3 linked regions of the Oryctolagus cuniculus genome follow. The protein of the gene in region 1 binds, or shares a complex with, the protein of each later gene. Links are inferred from orthologs where the notes say so. Each region holds a gene or a part of one and is shown on either strand. Other genes may lie near its edges.

Region 1 (6,797 bases):
TGCTTTTGGGTGCACAAGTGTATATAACACTTCCCCAGACAATACCCAATCTTCTGATATGTGAAGCATTTCCATTGCTTGGTACCTCCTTCTAAAAGAGCTCCTTATAACCCACTAAGGAATCATTACTCTAGCTCTCAAAATGTGGGGCTAGAGAGGTAGACCTTTCTCAAAGGGACTTGGATCCTAGGCCCCAAGTCTCCTGGGTGGGACACAGCTCCCAGTGTTCCTCTTCCTCAGTCACCATACATTTTGGTAAAAGATTTGGTGAGTATTGTATAGACCGAAGTGTGTATAATCAGCTCAGGCCATGCCTTGAGGGCTGAAAACCTCTCATGCAACACAATGCATTTGCTTTCCTGAGTGTCTAGTGTCTCCAGGAAGATCCAGGCTGTACTCATCCCTCCTCATACATCTTGGTCCTCCTCTTGGAGGTCCTCTTGGGTCCCCTTCAATACGAATGCTGTCTTCTGCCCTCAGCCCCTATGTCACCACAGTGGGAGGCACATCTTTCCAGAATCCTTTCCGCGTCACAAATGAGATTGTTGACTATATCAGTGGCGGTGGCTTCAGCAATGTGTTTCCACGGCCTTCATACCAGGTACAAGCATGTTTGTGTGGATGGGTGGGGGAGGGAAGTGCCTCAGTTCAGCAGACTGCTGAGCAAGTCACAGGTCGGTGCTCATTCAGCAATGCCTTTCAGGAAGAAGCCGTAACCCAGTTCCTGAACTCGAGCCCCCACCTGCCACCACAGAGTTACTTCAATTCCAGTGGCCGTGCCTACCCAGATGTAGCTGCACTTTCTGATGGCTACTGGGTGGTCAGCAACAGAGTGCCCATTCCGTGGGTGTCTGGAACTTCGGTGAGAATCAGCCTAGCTCCGAACGCTCACTCAGGGACTACCCCCACGTCCTAAACAAAACTTTGCAGCCAGAACTCCTGACTTCTCAGAGACCTCTGATCCTTTCACATACCACCCCCCAACCTTCAAAGTCCACCCACTCTGAACCCCTGACCTGTACTTGTACCTTCTCCTCTTCAGGCCTCTACTCCAGTGTTTGGGGGACTGCTATCCTTGATAAATGAGCACAGACTCCTCAGCGGTCGTCCTCCTCTTGGCTTTCTCAACCCAAGGCTCTACCAGCAGCATGGGGCAGGACTCTTTGATGTAAGTGTGAAAGAGAGGGTGTGGATGTTTTCATACGAGTATGGGGAGTGCTAAAATGAACTTGGGGGGAATTCTGATAGGGTAAGATAGCCTCTGGGATGTGAACACAGGATGATAAGATAGAGTTTGTTAGTACTGCTATCAGCAAGCCCAGATCTGATGCTCACCTCTTTCCTAGGTAACCCATGGCTGCCATGAGTCCTGTCTGAATGAAGAGGTGGAGGGTCAGGGTTTCTGCTCTGGCCCTGGCTGGGATCCTGTGACAGGCTGGGGAACACCCAACTTCCCAGCTCTACTGAAGGCATTGCTCAACCCTTGACCCTTTCCTGTCCCGAGAGCTGTCCTCTCTCCTGCCCTACAGCTAGTGGCTCCATCCCTTATTCTGCCCTGTTGGAAGTTCTGTTGAACCCTCAGTTGTTGAGTGCTTCAGCTTATCTCCCTAACCCTGAAATGCTGTGAGCTTTACTTGACTCCCAACCCTACCCTTATCTGTCATACTCAGGTGTCTCTACTCTTGCCTCAAGTTCTCAACAGGATGCTATAACCAGTGTTTTTGTGGCTGCCTCCTCTCTTCCTCTCTTTAACCAGGCCTTTCCGAAGGGTTCTCTACATTGACTGTGTATGCTATTTTACTTCTTCACTTGTCCCAATTCATGGCATGGGACCTCTGCTCTCCCCTTTTACTCTTTCCTCCCCTGATAAGAAACAGTGGCCTCCCTGCTACTTCATCCAGTACACACTTGCCAATCTTTGCTTTATACCTTTCCATCATAGCTGCCCATTCTCCTTTCTACCCTAGCATCCTGGGCTTAACTTATTGTCTGATTATCCCTCTCTTCCTCCATGGAATTCTCTTTTTCTGCTTTCTCATAGAATATTAGAGTTGTTCATTGCTCCTTTCTTAATCATTTGCTTTTCTTACTCATTGTCCCATGGAACAAATCAATGGCATCTACAGCAATCACTATCTCACTAAATCAGACTTTCTATACAGTTGTGATGGATACCTCAAATACAAGATGTGTGATACTCAATACTTATCTCACTCCATCTCAACCCCAAAATATTCGACCTATTATTTGTCTTTGGTAAACAACATTATGTCTCTTCCAACCAAGCCTGAAATCTGTGCCATCCTTGACTCCTCTATTTCCTTCACCTATCACCATATTCAATCAACATCCCTACAGATTTTGCCTCTTAAAAAAAAAAGTGTTTATCAATTTACAATGCATTCCAACTATATTTAAATATATTTAGAACTTACCCATTCTCTCTTTTCCCAGTGCTACCATATTAGCTTTGAACCATATTCTCTCTCTTCTGAATATGCAGGAGGCCCTTGCAAAAATAGTGTCCATGCTTCCTACCCAGCCTTAATACATTTTCCAAAGTAAAATGTAAACCTCCTCAGGCCATTTACTTGATTAAAATCCTTCAAAATTACTGGATAAAGTTCAGGCTTGGTTCACAAACCTTTTCTGCTATTTGCTCCTGAGTAACAAAATCATTTTTCCTTCCCTTAAGGAACTCGCCCTAGTTGAAGCCACCCCTGATAGAAATGCCTGGTTAATTTCCAGGATTCTTTACAGACTCAGCTCTAAAGTCATCTCATTGAAGGTTTAGATTCCCAGAAGCTAACTGATTTTTGTGTAGCATAAAAATCCTAGATTTTTGTAACCAAACCTGAGTGAACCTTGGTTGCAATACAAATGAGAACCTTGAGCAAAAGAGTTTATCGCCTTGAGCCCATTTCCTCATTACCTGTCTTTCATAACAATCAGGGAATAATTCAGTGGAATAATGCCGACGGAGCGCTTGGCACCTGGAAGTAGGCAGCAATTGTTCCCTTCCTCCATTGCACTGCACGCACTGCCTACCTCTAGCATCGTTAACGCCCATATGGTATTGAAATTGCCAGTTTACCTCCTTTTCCAAGACCACTGGTGCCTACAGAACTAGAATTTTGTCCTACTTAACTTTGTATTCCCAGTCAAGAGTGGCTCAAGAGTTGGCAAATACGAATTAAATAAATGTTTGCGGAATGGGAAACCTCATGCTTTCGCTTGATGTGATTTTGTTTCCTTAGGCTGAAATACTCTCCTCTCCATCTACAGCATCACTGAATGCGGCACTCTCCCTTGCAGGCAGTTGGCTTGGGAGGGGGCTTTCCAACGCCACTCTGAACCTTTAAAAGGTTGAATAAGGAAACCAGGAAAATGCGGACTGGCAGACTAGGGGTGCCGGGCCGATGAGCCCCAAATCAAGGTCTTGGAACGTCCGATTGAATGAGGAGTCCTCGACCCGTAATTAGAGCCCGGGACCCACAAGTGCGGAGTCGACTGGGAGCACCGCGGGGTGGAGGGTGGAATGGCGACCGCGTAGTTCTCCCGGATTGGTCTCCGCCCCCTTGCCTCCTCGCCTAACCCGCCGTGAGGCAAAGAAAGGAGGCGGGAAGCCGCAGGGACCGAGCAAATATTGACAGGCGGGGCGAGTCGGGGAGCGCGTGACGTCACTCTGGGGTGTGCGTAACGTGAGCGGAAGCGGAAGCGGCTCTGTTCGCCGCCTCTCCCACCAGCCCGATGAGCTGCAGCGGCTCCGGCGCGGACCCCGAGGCGGCGCCGGCCTCCGCCGCCTCGGCCCCGGGCCCGGCACCCCCGGTCTCGGCTCCCGCCGCGCTGCCCACCAGCACCGCCGCGGAGAACAAGGCCAGCCCCGCGGGGACAGCAGGGGGGCCTGGGGCTGGAGCCGCGGCCGGGGGCGCGGGACCCGTGGCGGCGCGGGCTGGGGAGCCCACCGAACGGCGCGGGGCGGGTGAGGGCCGGGACGGGTGAGGGTGAGGGAAGAGCCTTGGACGGGGCTTCGCGGCGGGTGAGGGTTGAGGGTACAAGGCAGATCTGCCTGGGACCCTGCGCCTGTCACCTCCGTGTCTCAGTTTGCTGGTTCTCCTCCAGCTCCGGTGTCGGCGGGCGGCGCGGCACCCCCGGAGGGGGCGATGTCTAACGGGGTTTACGTACTACCGAGCGCGGCCAACGGAGACGTGAAGCCCGTGGTGTCTAGCACGCCTCTGGTGGACTTCTTGATGCAGCTGGAGGACTATACGCCTACGGTGGGCTTCCCGCCTGAACAAGGCCATCTGGCCCGCATCCACGCCAACTTACAGCCACACCTCCGTGCTTTCCAGCGTCATCTTACATTTGCTCCCCTACTAGCTCTTGTGATTTAGTCCCTCCGCCCACCCAAACTGTGAGCTTCTTGATAGCCAGGCCTATCCTCTCTCCCTCACCCTCCTCCCACAGCCCAGCAGGGAGCAGGACTAATGCTGACAGTTGTCTCATTGATTTCTCAGATCCCAGACGCAGTGACTGGTTACTACTTGAACCGTGCTGGCTTTGAGGCCTCAGACCCACGCATGTGAGTAAACCCAGGGTAGGCTAGAGCTTTGAGTGCTTCTGCAGGTTGTTGTCCACCTCCTTCTCATACCAGTTTTTTCTCTCTAGAATTCGGCTCATCTCCCTAGCTGCCCAGAAATTCATCTCAGATATTGCCAACGATGCCCTACAGCACTGCAAAATGAAGGGCACAGCCTCTGGCAGCTCCCGGAGCAAGAGCAAGGTGTGAGGGGAGGCTCACTTAACCAGTAATTACCCTCCACAGCAGCGGAGGCTTAACTTATCCTGAGAGCCCTGTGGGGAAACTAAGTCCCAGGGGAGGTGTAAGGCTACTCAGGATCACCCACCTGGGACTTCAATCTCGGATTCCTGTGCTCAGCTGGTACTCTTCCCTCTTCCCTCAGGACCGCAAGTACACTCTAACCATGGAGGACTTGACCCCTGCCCTCAGCGAGTATGGCATCAATGTGAAGAAGCCGCACTACTTCACCTGAGCCACGCAACCTAAATGTACTTCTCTATCCCCATGTCCCCACACCAGCCTGTTTTCGTAATAAACTTTATTGTGACAGGCGGGGCTGATCCCTCCCATTCTGGGAGACACCGTGTGGCAAGTGACAAAGCTCTGAGCCCAGCCCCTTTTGGGGCCACAGTGGTAGGGATGGGGGCAGAGGATGGGCCCCATGGCTGGGGTAGTACCATGACTGGAGGCAGGGGAGGCAACCAGAGGCCTACTGCTTTGGGGAGTTACACTCCCCCAACCATGTCCTGACACCTTGGAGTTTCAGCAAGGACCTTGCAGTTCTATTTGTCCTGCATCTTCTCCAGGATAGGCACAATCATGTCAAATTTGGGTCGCTTAGCAGGGTCTTCATTCATGCAGATCTTCATGAGCTTGCACACATGGGGGGAAATACCTGGTGGGATGGTGGGCCGAAGGCCTTCCAGTGCCACCTGCGAATACAAGGAAAATTAAGATGAGCTTCAGAATTTGAGTGTGTCATACAGGAAGAGACCTCTGACCCTTGGGACAGGATTATGTATCTGAACAACTGTGGGTAGAGCTACAATTATTGTCACCACACCCATCTTTTCTGCCCCAACAGAAGGGTATGCACATCTGCTCTCACCTTCATTCCAATCTCCATATTGGAGAGGTCAGCAAAAGGTACCTCTCTTGTCACCAGTTCCCACAGAAGCACTGCAAAACTCCACATGTCTGCTGAGCGTCTGTTTGTGTCTTCAGGCTTCTTCTGCAAAGCTGGAGAGATAGGGCTTATTTGTTCCAGCTGCCTAGCCTGTCCTGTCTCTGCCTTCTTCCACTGCTACTCAGCTGGTCATTCTCTACCTCCCAATGCAATGCCCTCACCCACCTTCAGGGGCTACCCAGGCAGGTGCATACATGCGTCCAGGGCATTGGAAAGAGAACTTGACATCGGCCATGCTGATCCGGGCAGTCATGTCCTCATCAATCTGGAGAAGATAGGTATGTGGAAGGTGAGTCCTATTCTAGGTAGGCAAAGGGCTATTGGGCCTGGGCCAGGAGTGAACTTGTGGCCTCACCATTACACTACGGCTATTGAGTGCATGTCGTGGGATGAGGGGCTCTAGTGTGTGTAGGAATGCCATGCCCCTTGCCATGTCCAAAGCAAACTTCACAGCTTGGCTCTGGTCCACGACAAAATCTAAGAAGAGACAAGAGTCAAATCACTTGGAGAGGCTCATGTACCATTCCTCATCCCTATCCCAGTGAAACTCAGCATCCCTACTCACTGGTGCCTTCATGTAGTACATTGTAGAGGGATCCATATGGCATCCAGTGCGTAATGAGGGTTGGGTGAGGAGCAGGTGGAGACTGGCAGGCTCCTAGCACTGGGAGAACATTTGGATGCGAGAAAATCCTGGGAGAGGGAGAGAGTGTGGCTGAGAGCTAGTATAGAAGTCATCCCCCTCAGTGCTATTGAAGGTTCTTTGGAACCAGTAGCTTGCAGTTTAGGCCTTGCCCCACCTGAGCCGAGGACACTCCTCATTGAAGTCTCTGCTCTTCCTTGTACTCCAGTCTCGAACCTTCAGCACCTTCACCACGATGTCATTGCCCTGCCAGCGGCCCTTCCACAACTGAAGGACAGGTAGGGATTAGGAGGCTTTAATTAAGGCTGCACGTCTTTGCCCACTAACTGGAGGGAAACTTACAACAGGTGTAAAGCAGGTAACTTGAGTGCAATTAAAGAGAAAAG
Region 2 (7,176 bases), on another chromosome or scaffold:
ACATGGGGCCAGCATTGTGGCACAGCAGACTATGCCACCACCTGCAACAGTGGCATCTCACGTGGGCACCGGTTTGAGTCCTGGCTGCTCTATTTATGATCCTGCTCCCTGCTAATGTGCCTGGGAAAACAGCAGAAGCAGCAGAAGATGGTGCACTTGGGCCCCTGTACTCATGTTGGACAGGCTCCTGGCTTCTGCCTGGCCTGGGTCTGGTTGTTGTGACCATTTGGGGAGTGAACCAGTAAATGGAAGATCTGTCTCTTCCCTCTCTATAGCTCTTTCAAATAAAAAGATTTTTTTAAATGTTTATTTATACACACCAGTTAGGAAGCTACCATCACTTGCCAGGCAAGGTAACAGTGGCTTGCATTAGGACAGTGGGGTGCAGATGAAGTAGTAATTGAAGTTTTTTTGGAAGTAGAAATCGTAAGTGGTTAAGTGAAGGGAGAAATCAAAGAGTTATGGCTCAAGTTTTAGCTTCAGGAGTTGAAGATGTAGTACCATTTATTTTCACAGAAACTCAGAAGGAAAAGCAAGTTTCTTGAGAGAGGAAGTGTTCTATTTTGTCGAGTTTCCTGAAGGATGTTTCAAGTGTGCTTCCAGTACAGAGGTGAATAATAAACCTGCTCTCTTCTGAGCCTCAAATATAATTAATGGAGACCTCAGATTCAGCACAGAGCTAATAATTAAAAAAGTAATAATGGGGGCAGCAGGCTGTTTTGTTAGAGTATCTACCATACTTCTTTTCCATTGCTGAGGGAACTCAGCTATCTTTGATGCTGAGATCTTGATTAAATTATTTGAGAGGCTGACACTGTGGCATAGCTGGTTAGTGCCCATGCTGCTCCACTTCCAAACAGCTCACCGTTAATGTCCTCGGAAAAGCAGAAGATGGCCCAAGTGTTTGGGCCCCTGGCACCCACTTGGGAGATCTGGACACGTTTCTGGCTTCAGCCTGGCCCAGCCCTGGCTGTTGCAGCCAATTATGGAGTCAATCAGCAGATGGAGGATCTCTGTCTCTCCCCTTAGATCTGTAACTCTTTCAAATAAGTAAATAACTCTTAAAAAAAAAACTTGGCAAGTGTTCTACTGTAAAACCCAGCATGGGGGGAGCTGTTCAGGTATCACTGCAGTCATATGTACTAAAACAGGAGAATCTGTTACCAACACCCAAACACATTGAGGAAATTTGCTTTGTATTACCAAATGTCAAAAAATAATCCAAATTCCAGACACTGAGGGAAACCTTGCTTAACCCTACAAGTTCCACACTAAAACCTCCCAAGTTCTGAAAATGTTTTTGTAAATTAAAAATGATCTTGTAGGGGAAAAAGTTACCCTTGTGAAGTCTCAAAGTCTCAGCATTCATTTTACTTTGGTTCTAATTAGTTTTAACATGTTTCCTATCAAACAGAAATTTTAAATGGGCTTGAAATGTTTACTTCATGAGGCTAGTATTTTAAAACCAAACCATTTTTTAGGCAAGTAAAGCTGTCAAAAGTGAATTGCATATAACACTGCATTTCATAAATTTTATCACTGATTTTCAAGAACAGATCAAGTGTAAAGCATTAAATTATCTTTAAGGGCATGGGAAGTTTAAGAGAGTATGAAAACTGTTAAAAGAAATTTTGTAATGCCAGACTATGGTACTGACTTCCTTAAGGATTTCAGTGAAATGAAGTGGCTAAATCACTTATCAGGATATTAAATAACTGTGGAATTAAAATAAAAATAATTGGAAACATAATCTAATCCAAACCAGTGCTGTGGTTCATTGGACTTCACTTGATAGCCATTGTTTTTATTCCCAATATTTTCTGCAGGTAAAAACAGTGCTTTTAAAAAAGGGTAAAGCAGCCGGCGCCGTGGCTCAATAGGCTAATCCTCCACCTTGCGGCGCCGGCACACCGGGTTCTAGTCCCGGTTGGGGCGCCGGATTCTGTCCCGGTTGCCCCTCTTCCAGGCCAGCTCTCTGCTATGGCCAGGGAGTGCAGTGGAGGATGGCCCAGGTGCTTGGGCCCTGCACCCCATGGGAGACCAGGAAAAGCACCTGGCTCCTGGCTCCTGCCAGGATCAGCGCGGTGCGCCGGCTGCAGCGGCGGCCATTGGAGGGTGAACCAACGGCAAAGGAAGACCTTTCTCTCTCTCTCTCTCTCTCTCACTGTCCACTCTGCCTGTCAAAAAAAAAAAAAAAAAAAAAAGGGTAAAGCAGGCCTTCATCTACAAATACTAGAGTAGTTTAGAATGGCTCTGTATCTCATGTTTTCCAGCCTCCTGATGGAGCAGGTGGATTAGAACCTTAATAGAATGCAAAGATGACATTTCCCAATTTCTGCTATGTTCCTTTTTTTTTTTTTTTTTAACCCACAACTGCTTCTTTACCTGCAAAGCAGGACCAAACTGACCAATCATTAAACTCTACCGAGAAACCACCTCAAAAGATTATCTGACTCCTATTACCAATGAAAAAATCAAGACACATAAGTTGAAAATTAGTCGCTTTTATTTATGTTAGAAACCTTATGAAATTATTTGCATCTCTACATGTGTGAAACTGCTTTGATTTAACTGAGAAAATAGTTAGGGAAACATATGCAAACCAACTTCATTGCCTCTACACTAGGTTCTTACCTATCTCAGAAGGCACCACATGGCAGCAATAGCAGCTTCCGGGAAATGGGGAAACAGCAGCAAAGTCCTGCAATGCAGCTGTGAATATTAGGGTTCAGCTGTTCATTCCACTAACCCTACAACTTCCTAACAATTACATTACTGCCTAGTCAATCCTAATTCTATAGAATGAACACCTAGCAAAGTGCTTCTTGAAAACAAGATAATTTAAAAAGAACTTCTAGCATTAGAAGGAACGGGAACTACTGCAAAATCTTAAAATCCAGAAAAAGTGATGAAGATTTTCTTAGTGTGGAACCATCAGGTTCAAAATGATCAAAATTCTTCTTACTTCTCTAGGAGTGACTCCAGCTCTTCCTGCAAAGAGCTGAGCTGCTCCTTTTCTCGGTCTTCCTTTTGTTTTAACTCATCCAGCACAGCCTGAAATCTGTTCTTGAGAGCCAGGTTTTCCACCTTCATGATGAGATCCTCCTGTCGCTTGGCCCTGTCCTGGGTCTCCTGGAGCTTGCCTTTCATGTTGTCAATCTGCTTCTGAATGCCCATAACCAGCTGGTTGGTCCCTTCGTTTTCTTGGTGCTGTTCATCTGACTCATTCAGCTTGTCCTGCAGCTGTCTCTCCAGGTCTTCCTCAGTGTCGATGATGTTTATATCTTCTTCGTCCTGGTGCTGGGTGTCATCTTCATCCTCGCTGCTGCTGCTGAGGTCATTGAATATCTCCCGAAGCTCATCGTGCTCCAGGGAGTCCTGGCCCTGCCTGTGGCCAGACATTCCTGGGGAAGAGATGTCAAGGCCTTGATTCTCCGTCTCTTTTGTTTCATCTTCAGCAATTATCTCCCAGCGAGTACTGACAGCTTCCGCATCTGTACTCAGCAACCGCTTCACTTCTTTCTCCACGTCTGGAGACTCAATATACTTTTTCTTTGCTGTCTTCCGGAATCTTCTCTTTCTGACATTCTTTAGAGGCAGAGTAATTCCATGGTTCCAGACGAACTTTTTCTCTTTGTCCTTATCCTTTTTCTTGCTTGCTTTGGGGTCAGCAGCAGCAACTGGCTCCTCCACAGGGGGATAAAGATCACCATCAACTGTGGACACGAGCATCTGACAGATATCAGCAGTCTTGTAAAAGGTTTTTTTATCGATGGTTTTCAAGCTTTCCATAACACACGGCAGATCCACCAGTTTTGAGGCCAGAGGGACCCGGTCCACTCTGACAATTCCATGACGCCCATCGGGGTGTAACTCGATGGTCAGTCTGTCTTTCAGGTTGACATGCCCCGACTGCACTGCCCTCCTCACAGTAGCAGCATATTCTGGAGGCAGGCGCAAGATAAACTGGCTCTCCAGCTCATGAGGGGCATCATCTTTGCTCTTACTCATCTTCACTTCTTTCTGACTCCCTTCTCCTAATAAACACTTGCTGCACTGAAAAGTTTCAGCTACTGCAACAATTTAAAAGACCAGTTCCTTATGAATTAAAATCTAACAACAGAAGGTTCTATGCAGAACAGTAGCTAAGCATCTGTTTTGTCTTAATTTTTAATCAAGCCACAAATCTTTTCTCTAAATATGCTGCACTCCACACCCGCTGTTTGTTACCGACACACTGGCTTATTCAGAGAATTAAGTCCATTTAAAGCCTGGAGCTGCAATGCCGAGTTCCAGCCTCTAGGTGCCGCCTCCAGACAATGCAGACAGAGCAAGCGGGCGAGCGAGCGAGCAGGAAAGCAAATGGCGGCTCCTGCAGAATGAAGACGGCACAAAATTAGGACAAGCAGTCAACACCGACCCAAACCCTCCCGAAACAAGCATAACTGAAAAAGCGGGACGCAGCGAGCTGCCTTTGCCTCGGGTACTTACAATCCAGTGACGGTTATAAATTCAGCTTCGCGCCGGGCGCAGGCGGCGGGGGGAGGAAGCCACTCGCTGCAAAGCGGCGGGGAGCCTCTTCTCTCGCCGACTCCTTTGTTCTTCCTGCTGCTCAGCTGAGTGATCCGCTACTGATTACCAATGCTTCGGTCCCGGCGGGAAGCGCGAAATTTCGCCGAGACGCGCTGCGCAGAGCCACACACCGGAGGCTCCGCAGGCGTCTGCCTGCAGCCGCTTGCAGAGCTGGCTTTAAAGCCGCGCTGCGTCACGGCGCGGGGCGGGAAGCGGCCGTGAGTGACAGCACGGCCGGGCGGAAAGACGGCCCGCCCCGAGCGCGCGCAGACGCAGTCGCGGCGCTGCGATTCCGGCCGGGACTCGTTCTCTGGATCCAGGGGAATTGTTTTAGGGCGTGAAAATGAAGTTTCCTGCCGACCTAGTTTGAAAATAAGAGATAACGATTGCAGGAAGGTCACAGAGCCTCCCCCTGCTGAGACAGCATTTGTACCGGACCGGCAAGCGCCGAGATAGCGTCTAGACTTCGGGGGTCAGGGCATGTTTGCAGAAAGCGTTTTGCTTCGGGAAACGTCTCGCGTGTTCCCCAGGAGTTACCCATTCTGGTGTCGGTGCAGGAATTTGTAACTAACCACAAAGTGGATTTAAAAGTTCCCAAATCAATGGCGTAAGGAGAGCATGCTGTCCACTGTGTGGTTCTGTGTGTATTTTAATTATGAAAGTGCCCGGAGGGGGACCGTGCTTCTGGGTTTATTTCTGCTTGGGAGCTCTCCAGGGGGCCAGGGGTGATTTCTCATTGGCGTAGTTGGCATAGATAGAAATGTAAGCAGGTTTCTCTGTAGCTCGGCCTCTCAAATAAATCTTTAAACAGAATAGACAGGTCCTTAGGACCTGTGGACAGATGCTGTGGCTAAAGTAGAATGTGTAAATGAGGAATTTTTACTGCCTGGAACGTACCAGTAATTTTTAAATTACTTTGGAATTTTTTTCCACTCCATCTACTGTTTTGCTGTATTCTGCTTATCTCGTATGTGGATTCTCAGGGATTCTTCACCGCATATTCGTGGTTCTTTGGCACAGCTGTAACAGCTTCCACTTATTTTTGTTCTTTTCCATTTATTTTTTAGTAGGATCCGTTTGGTAGAGCATCAAGGTCATTTAACCTACGCCCTCTAAAATATTAACAACAAATTAAATTTAAGAGAACTCCCAGAAAGTGATTAACATTTCTAGAATTTGCATTATTTCTTTGTGTACTTGTTGATTGTCCTCCTTACACCAGATTATATCCCAGGGCCTAGTACCAGAATATTGGAGACACACAAAAATAATTCGATAATTGAATGAAACAGTTGACTCATCTAGAAATAACATAGTCTTAAAAATATAGTAATTTGCTGGAGAAAATAAATTCTATGTCACTTAAAGCGAGTTTGAGTCACTTTATAGTACATTCATTCCCTTTCTAGTCAAGGATGGCAGCAGTTGTTACAGTGTTTTTACCAATAGAGGGTGTGAGTGTGGTGCAAACGAACTGTGAAACCGTGAGGAAATGAAAGTGAGCTGGCACAGGTTTGCTTTTTTGGTTCATTTTAAAGAGAAAGTATGTCCTTCCGTGTAACCACATTATTTCTGTCCCATAATATGCTGAAGAATGTTGGCTGATTCATCAGTAATTTCCAGGATAATCTATTTCCTGTTTTTTGAAGATGATATTTTTAGTCGGCCTTTGATTTTACCTGCTTTTACTTATTTTATAAATTTAAGCATTTATTCTCTGCATAGTGCTCTATTTAGCCATATAAGACCATGCTCATATATGAAAATAATCCAAATATTACTTTGTATTTTAATTCTCCATGTGTTTCATGATGCTCAAATATACTTGTATAGAAGGTAATTTGACATGAATTGTATGCAATTCTGATTTGCCAGAAGACTGTTTTAATTAGCAGACCTCTAAATGGAAGATTATCAGAGATAACTGAAAGGATTGATACCAGTTTTCCCAAAGTACTACCTACTACAATCTTGAAACATATTGTTTGCTTTTGAATTTAACACATTTTCCAGTTATTGGTTTTTCACTTGGGGATATGGGTTATACTGATTCTACAACTGAAATCTTTGCTATATCACCAGTTGTGATTGTTTTCAAATTCATTAGACATACAGAAAAACTCTAAATTAGTGAAAGAGTTTTACCCCTGTGGATGTTCTGTAGAGTATCTGTAATAGGAGTGAACCAAAGATTTGGGGACAGCAAAAAATTTTCCAGTGTGGTAGCATTACTTGTGGTTAAGGAGTATTGCAGTCACTGCTGCTAATGCTGTATGTTTGAAAAATCCCTTTAATAAGCTATGAAATTACTTAAAAAGACTGCTTATATTATGGAGGATAAAATAAATATGGGTGATGTGAGAAGTTCTAATTAAATTTTAGAGGAAGAAAATTATGGAGCTGAGGAAAGAGGAAGCACTCTTAAAAAGTAAGCTTATGCACTGCTATGTCATCATATATTTGTAAAGTAAAAAGCAAGTTAACTAAAAATGTGTCACAGGTCCTGTACTAAAAAATGCTTTCTATTGGAAAAAAAATCAAAACCTAACTTACACTGGTTTGAAGAATATTATCTCAAAAACCAGGTAGTCTAGAGCAGCTGTG
Region 3 (7,309 bases), on another chromosome or scaffold:
GGATAAAATTCCAAGCTTCCAGCCCACCCTAGCTGTTGCAGGCATTTGGACAGTGTTTAAGCTGACTGATGATCTCTATCTCTCTGCCTTTCAAATAAAAATGAAAAATAAATTAAAAATAATCTTTTTTTCCTGGGATCAGTATGTGGTACAGTGGGTTAAGGCACCACTTGTAATGCCAGCATCCTAGATCAGGGTGCTGGTTTGAGTCCCGGCTATTTCACTTCCAATCCAGCATCCTGCTAATGCACATGGGAAGACAGCAAAGATGGCCCATATACTTGGGTTCCTGCCAACCACGTGGGACACCAGGATGGAATTCGTGGCTCCTGGATTTGGTCTGGGGCAGACCTGTCTGTTGCTGCCATTTGAAGAGTGAACCAGCAGATGCTGGTTCTTTCTCTCTTTGTCATTCTGACTTTCAAATAAATAAGTAAATAAATCTCACTTTAAAAATTATTTTCTTTAAAAAGAGGAGTGCGGAATCTTTTCTCTGTGAAGAGCCATTTGGATATTTATAACATCATTTGCAGGCCATAAAAACTATCAACTTAGAAATTAGCCTGCTACAATTTGCTGAATCTTTATATATAGGTAGATTGAATTTTGAGTCCTGCCTGTGGTTGTCTTGGCCAGGCCACACCAAAAGATGTCACACACCTGGACATTTCCCACCTCTGGTGGCAAACAGATCTCAGTAAGATATATGAAGACTCATAAGACATGGAGAAGAGTATGAAAATTCCAAATTCTTGTCATCATAAAGATAAAGTAATCCAAGTATAACAAAGGTCTTTGCTAATAACCAACTGTGCAAGCATCACTTCGAGATACTCTGGAGTAGTGATCTCTTTCTTACGTTGGTAAAGTAAGTAAAATGTAATACAAATGTAATAAATATTATCAGAGAGATGGGATAAGCAATGTTCAGCTTTAGGTGAGATACAGAAAAAGGTTACAATTAAAAAGAAATATGGCGGTAGACTGGCACTATGGCACAGTAGGTTAAACCACTGCTTGCAGTGCCACCATCCCATATGGGCACCAGTTCGAGACTCGGTTGCTCCACTTCCAATCCAGCTCCCTGCTAATGACCTGGGAAAGTAAAGAAAGACGATCCAAATGCTTGGGCCCCCACAACCATGTGGGAGACCCAAAAGAATTTCTAGGCTCCTGGCTTCAGACCTGCCAGTTCCAGCTGTTCTGGCCATTTGGGGAGTTAACCAGTGGATGGAAGATTCTCTCTCTCTCTAACCCAGCATTTCAAATAAATGTTAAAAAAAAAAAAAAAAAACATGGTGTGGGTATTGTGGCGTGGCAGGTTGGGCCCAGTTTGGGACACCCACAACCCTTGGCTGACATTCCACATCAGAGTGCTTGTTTGACTCCCATCTACTCTACTTCGAATCCAGCTTCCTGCTGCTGTGATTCTGGAAGGCAGCAGGTGATGGCTCAGGTACTGTGGCCACTGCCACCCATGTAAGAGACCCAAATGGCATTCTGGGCAACTGGCATCCGCCTGGCCTAGCCAAGCCTCAGCTGTTGTGGGCATGAGCGAACCATCAGATGGAAGATCTCTGTCTTTTTCTGTCACTCTGCCTTTCAAATAAATTTCAAATAAAAAAGACATACTGATGTGCAGTTTTAACATCACATGTAAACTGCTCGTATCTGTCCCAACCTTAATAAACAGGTATTCTTAAATCTGTGTTGTCTCATCTCTCAATACCCAGCTATATAGATATAAAGGAATCCGTACTGGGAGATAAAAAGCTATTCTCATGATGACTTTTAAATGTTGTCCTGGACTATCAGCAGTAGGAACAGATCTCCTTTCTTCATGCTGCTGTCTAAAAAGGGTAAAATCTGTCTACTGAGGGAGTGGGACAAAGCACTAACACATTATATTATCTTCATGCCATTGTATGTCTCACATTGTTCCTCACCTTCCTGCCCTGTTCACTGCCCTTAGTCCAAAGTCTCAACTTAGCCCCTACCCTCAGCACCTGTTTCAGTGCCCACAGTCAAAAGAACTCCTGCTTCTACTGTTGCAAAGGTAAGGGCCAGGAAAACGTGGAGGTATATTGTTTTGTCCTGAATTGAAACACTGATCATATTTGTTAGGAAACTGGTGCAGTTTTATCCATGGCGCTATCTACACCATGATTTACATCCTATGCCCCGGTTCTCACAGCCATTGCTGAAAGCCATGTAGCCACATGGCCCAACCACCAGTGTCAAGCTCCACCCCCATCCTAACGGGATTCGCTGCTCCTGTTTCCCTGCCCGCCCTCTGGCAAAGTTTAAAAGGGCCTGTTCCTGAACAGGCGGCACTCTTGGCTCTTCTCTCCTGTTCTCTTGGCTCCTCTCGTCTCTCTTCTCTCCTCACTAGCTCCTCTACTCTCCGTGTCTCTTTCTCTTATACTCTCCTCTCCCTTTTTCCCTTCATCACCTCACCCTTCCGGTCTGCTGGCTTTTCTCAATAAACCCTTTCCCTTACTCCGGAGTTTGGTGTGTTTTTGTGACAGCCTAACAGAAAGACATAACAATATTCCCTCACTTAAATTCTGTACAATTTAAAACACAATTATACGTTAAACTGGGGTTAGTATCTGTGATTCAAAAATTAAACTGAGGGGCTGGTGCTGTGGCGCAGCAGGTTAAAGCTCAGGCCTGAAGCGCTGGCATCCCATATGGGCACCGGTTCTAGTCCTGGCTGCTCCTCTTCCGATCCAGCTCTCTGCTATGGCCTGGGAAAGTAGTAGAAGATGGCACAAGTCCTTGGGCCCCTGCACCCGCATGGAAGAAGCTCCTGGCTCCTGGCTTCGGATCGGCACAGCTCCAGCCATTGCGGCCATCTGGGGAGTGAACCACAGGATGGAAGACCTACCTCTCTCTCTGACTCTGCCTCACTCTGTAACTCTTTCAAATAAAATAAAAATAAATCTTTTAAAAAAAGGCAAAAATTAAATTGAACTTTACTGGCAATTTTGAGAATATTATCCTTGCAAACATTTTCAGAATATAAATCTATTCCAAAGGACATGTCCAAAAGTTTGCATGATCTATAATAAAATCACTGTCAAATACTACTTACATTCTTTAGAAAAGAGTCTCTTTCTTTTACCCTGTCCACCTTCTGCACCTCCTCCAATTTCTTCATTTTCTTCCTCAAACTAGAAGTTAAAATGTATATATAGAAATGTCAAGTGATTGCATTGCATTTGATATTTTAATAACTTGCTTTCATTTTTAACACTAATATCAGGCCAAAACGCTTAAAAGCAAGCACTAAAAAATCATGATAACTTAGCACTAAAGAGCCCTTAGAGACTACCTAGTCAAAATTTCAATTCCCGCAAAAATGGTTTCTACACTGTCCACAACAATCCTGCCTAGACACGTAAGCCTTTTAACAGCCGCAAGTTCTTTTTGTTTAAAACCAACTAAGTTGGTCTACTGCTAGCCAGTGTTGCCATTCAAGGACCGATACTGAATCAAAGCCTACCTCCCTGCAGCAAAAAAGGAAAAATTTTAACTAAGCACCTGCTTATACAGTGCTAAAACCTTTCCTTATCTGTTTTAACCTTATTTTATATCAAGAACAACCGATGCTGAAAGTTAAATAACTTGTTCGGTGAGAATGGAGATTTTGAAATCCAGGCTTCTGATTTGTGGTCCGTTATTTCTCCAACACTTCACAATAAATATCCAATTCTGTTAGCAGCTAGATTGTTGGTTCATTTAACGAGCACCAACAAATACGAGTGATTAGCTCTGACGATCGTCTAGTTTCACAAAGTGTCTAGCAGATTCAGCCCGAATCCGAAGGGAAAGGGGCTACCTTCCCACTACTTCACGTCCTGCCCCGGAGTACTAAAACCATGAAGCTGAAGGAAAAGACAAGCACAACTGGTCCCCGAACTCTCTCGACTGAATTCACTAAGGAAAACACCCCATTCTGAACTCTGCTTCCGTCACTAAGCCTGAGCGAAAGGGAGGATTGGGACAAAGGCGGTCACTCACGGTGGGATCTTCTTCCTCATCTGCCATTACACTAGCCCGACAACCTACTGTGCCGCGCCGGCTCGCTCTCAGCGGGTTTTTACTACTTCCGTTGCGTCACTTCCGGTGACGTAGGGGGCGGGGCCGGGTCCCCGCAAACACGCCTGGGAGGGGGAGCTGCCTAGCGACCGCTGAGAGAGACGGTCTGTAGGGTAGCAGCGTGAGCTCTGGGTTCTGTAATCCCGAGGAAGGAACTAAAATTTAGCAAACTGAAAGAAATGCACCAGGCAGTGTGTATCCTCTTATCACCCTACATCTCCTTGTGCGTGTTGAATCCACCTTTCCTGACCTGGAGCGTAGGAGGGCGATCCCGCGGTCTTGCTCTGAGGGGTGTATTTTAAAGTGCAATGAGTTACGCCTGCACTATTGATCCCAAGCACTTTGTTAATTATTGTGGGGTACTATATTTCACTACTAGTTCTCAAGGGGGCGCTATCCTTAGAGACGATTTAAAATTTTCTGGAGAAGAATTTGGGTTTTAACAATGAGAACACGCAGTAAGAGGCTGGAGTTGACATAAAATATCCTGCAACCTAAGGGATGATGCCACACGATAAAAAAGTCCAATAATACACACGATTTCTCTATGTCCTGCTGAACATTCAATGACTGAAAATATTATTTTATATAAACTATTTTTCCCATGCTTTTAATGAACATTGGATTTCCTGTGACTGTTACTTCTTCAAAATTGGTGATCTGTTGCATTTTGCTTTGTTTGGAACTTATTAAGAGGAAATACTGCCACCAAAGGCAATATCGCTTGTAATTTAAATAGTGCTCACCTGGAATCTGCCTACATTTGTAGTTCCTACATTCGAGGTAAATTTACATCTAGGTACAAGCAACCACATTGTTATTATACCTCCTGTGTTGTCATGCCTGAGAATTTACGTGTTAAAAACATATTAATAGGCCGGCGCCGCGGCTCACTAGGCTAATCCTCCGCCTTGCGGCGCCGGCACACCGGGTTCTAGTCCCGGTCGGGGCGCCGGATTCTGTCCCGGTTGCCCCTCTTCCAGGCCAGCTCTCTGCTGTGGCCAGGGAGTGCAGTGGAGGATGGCCCAGGTGCTTGGGCCCTGCACCCCATGGGAGACCAGGAAAAGCACCTGGCTCCTGGCTCCTGCCATCGGACCGGTGCGGTGCGCCGGTCGCAGCGCGCCGGCCGCGGCGGCCATTGGAGGGTGAACCAACGGCAAAGGAAGACCTTTCTCTCTGTCTCTCTCTCTCACTGTCCACTCTGCCTGTCAAAAAAATAAATAAATAAAATAAAAAAAATAAAAAAAACATATTAATAGATTCTTTTATATTTATTTCTTATTTGGGCATTTTTTGATAAGTTCTCATTTTAGTTTCAGGATTTAACAATTTTCAGCATTTTGCCACATTGTATTTTTTAAAGATTTATTTATTTATTTGAAAGGCAGAGAAAGAGAGAGAGAGGTTTCCCCAAATGGCCGCAATGGCAGGAGCTGAGCCAATCTGAAGCCAGGAGCCAGGAGCTGCTTCTGGATCTCCCAAATGGGTGCAGGGGCCCAAGCACTTGGGCCATCTGCTGTTTTCCCAGGCACATTAGCAAGGAGTTGGTTCGGAAGTGCAGCAACTGGGAGCCTATATGAGATGCCTGCACTGCAAGGAGGTAACTTTACCCACTATGCCACAGCACCAGAACCAACCTTGTATTTTTTTTTTTTTTTTAAGATTTAATTTGATTGGGCAGGCACTTAGCCAGTAGGCTAAGCCTCCGTCTGTGGCACCAGAATCCCATATGGGCGCTGGTTCATGTCCAGCTGCTCCTTTTCCAATCCAGCTCTCTGCTTACAGCTTGGAAAGGCAATGACGTAGGGCCCAAGTGTTTGGGTCCTGCACCGGTGTGGGAGACCCAGAAGAAGCTCCTGGCTCATGGCCTCAGAATGACTCAGCTCTGGTTGTTGTGGCTATTTAGAGGGTGAACCAGCACTTTGTCTCTCTCTCTTTCTCTAGCCCTACCTTTAAAAGAAAAAAAAAAAAGATTTATTTATTTATTTATTTATTTGAAAATCCGAGTCACAGAGAAAAAGAGGAGAGATAGAGAGATTTTCCATCTGTTGGTTCACTCCAAAGCCAGGAACCAGGAGCTTATTCTGAGTTTCCTATGTGGATGCAGGGGCCGAAGCATTTGGGCCATCTTCCACTGCTTTCCCAGGCACACTAGAAGGGAGCTAGATGGGAAGTAGAGCAGCACCCATATGAGATGCCCGCACTGCATGCAGTGGCTTAACCCGTTTCGCTGCAGCACCAGCCCCTGTATATGTTCTTAATTATGTGGGTAGATAGGTAATCAGTTATTACTGTGCAACAAATTACCCCAAAACCTAGTGGCTTGGGGGCCGGCATTGTGGCACAACAGGTTAACCCATCACCTGCAATGTGGCATCCCACATTGGAGCACTAGTTTGAGTCCCAGTTACTCCACTTCAAATCCAGCTCTCTGGGAAAGCAGTGGAAGATGGCCAAAGTGCCTGAGCCCTGCCACTCATGTGGGAGACCAGTTGGAGTTCCTGGCTCCTGGCTTTGGCCTGACCTAGCAAGTGGCTGTTACAGCTACTTGGAGAATGAACCAGTGGATGGAAGCTTTTCTCTCTCTCTTTCTCTCTCTCTCTCTCTCTGTAATTCTGCCTTTCAGGTAAGTTTATGAATCTTAAAAAGAGAAAGGCCAGCGCCGCGGCTCACTTGGCTAATCCCCGGGTTCTAGTCCTGATTGGGGCGCCGGATTCTGTCCCGGTTGCTCCTCTTCCAGTCCTGCTCTCTGCTGTGGCCTGGGAAGGCAGTAGAGGTTGGCCCAAGTGCTTGGGTCCTGCACCCGCATGGGAGACCTTTCTCTCTGTCTCTCTCACTGTCTAACTATGTCAACAAAAAAAAAAAAAAAAAGAAAAGAAAGAAAGAAAGAAAATAAGAAAATTAATATGACGAGGAGAGGTTATTGAAGGTATGGATGAAGGTATGGAGAGAAAGAACCCCTCCACCTGCCCTTCCTGTTTTGCTTGTTTTTAAGAGGCAGGCAGAGAGCAAGCTCCCATCTGCTGCTTCAACCCAGATCTCCCACATGGGTGGCAGGAACTCAATTATTTGAGCCATTGTCACCGCCTCCCAGGATCTGTAGGAAGCCGGTATCAGAAGCCAAAGCTGGAACTCAGCGCTGTGGCACAGCAGGTAAAGCCTCCGCCTGCAGTGCTGGCATCCCATATGGGTGCCAGTTCAAGTC

The links.
Region 2: TAF10 (region 1) and TAF7 share a complex: the UniProt entries of both Homo sapiens proteins name them as parts of the TFIID basal transcription factor complex. The link is inferred for Oryctolagus cuniculus from reciprocal best matches to the Homo sapiens genes TAF10 and TAF7.
Region 3: TAF10 (region 1) and TAF13 share a complex: the UniProt entries of both Homo sapiens proteins name them as parts of the TFIID basal transcription factor complex. The link is inferred for Oryctolagus cuniculus from reciprocal best matches to the Homo sapiens genes TAF10 and TAF13.

Annotation. Positions count from the first base shown.
Region 1 is NC_091432.1:60,278,359-60,285,155, forward strand, and holds TAF10 (transcription initiation factor TFIID subunit 10), read left to right. Parts: upstream 1-3,713; 5' UTR 3,714-3,750; coding exon 3,751-3,982; intron 3,983-4,122; coding exon 4,123-4,277; intron 4,278-4,517; coding exon 4,518-4,582; intron 4,583-4,668; coding exon 4,669-4,783; intron 4,784-4,964; coding exon 4,965-5,054; 3' UTR 5,055-5,131; downstream 5,132-6,797. Other genes in the region: TPP1 (tripeptidyl-peptidase 1), read left to right, coding at 481-601, 704-862, 1,043-1,168, 1,347-1,487; ILK (integrin-linked protein kinase), read right to left, coding at 5,365-5,514, 5,691-5,821, 5,934-6,033, 6,124-6,245, 6,334-6,461, 6,569-6,678. UniProt on the Homo sapiens protein: The TFIID basal transcription factor complex plays a major role in the initiation of RNA polymerase II (Pol II)-dependent transcription.
Region 2 is NC_091437.1:28,857,483-28,864,658, forward strand, and holds TAF7 (transcription initiation factor TFIID subunit 7), read right to left. Parts: upstream 4,012-7,176; coding exon 2,962-4,011; 3' UTR 2,489-2,961; downstream 1-2,488. UniProt on the Homo sapiens protein: The TFIID basal transcription factor complex plays a major role in the initiation of RNA polymerase II (Pol II)-dependent transcription.
Region 3 is NC_091438.1:61,353,742-61,361,050, reverse strand, and holds the start of TAF13 (transcription initiation factor TFIID subunit 13), read right to left. Parts: upstream 4,154-7,309; 5' UTR 4,054-4,153; coding exon 4,027-4,053; intron 3,177-4,026; coding exon 3,098-3,176; intron 1-3,097. UniProt on the Homo sapiens protein: The TFIID basal transcription factor complex plays a major role in the initiation of RNA polymerase II (Pol II)-dependent transcription.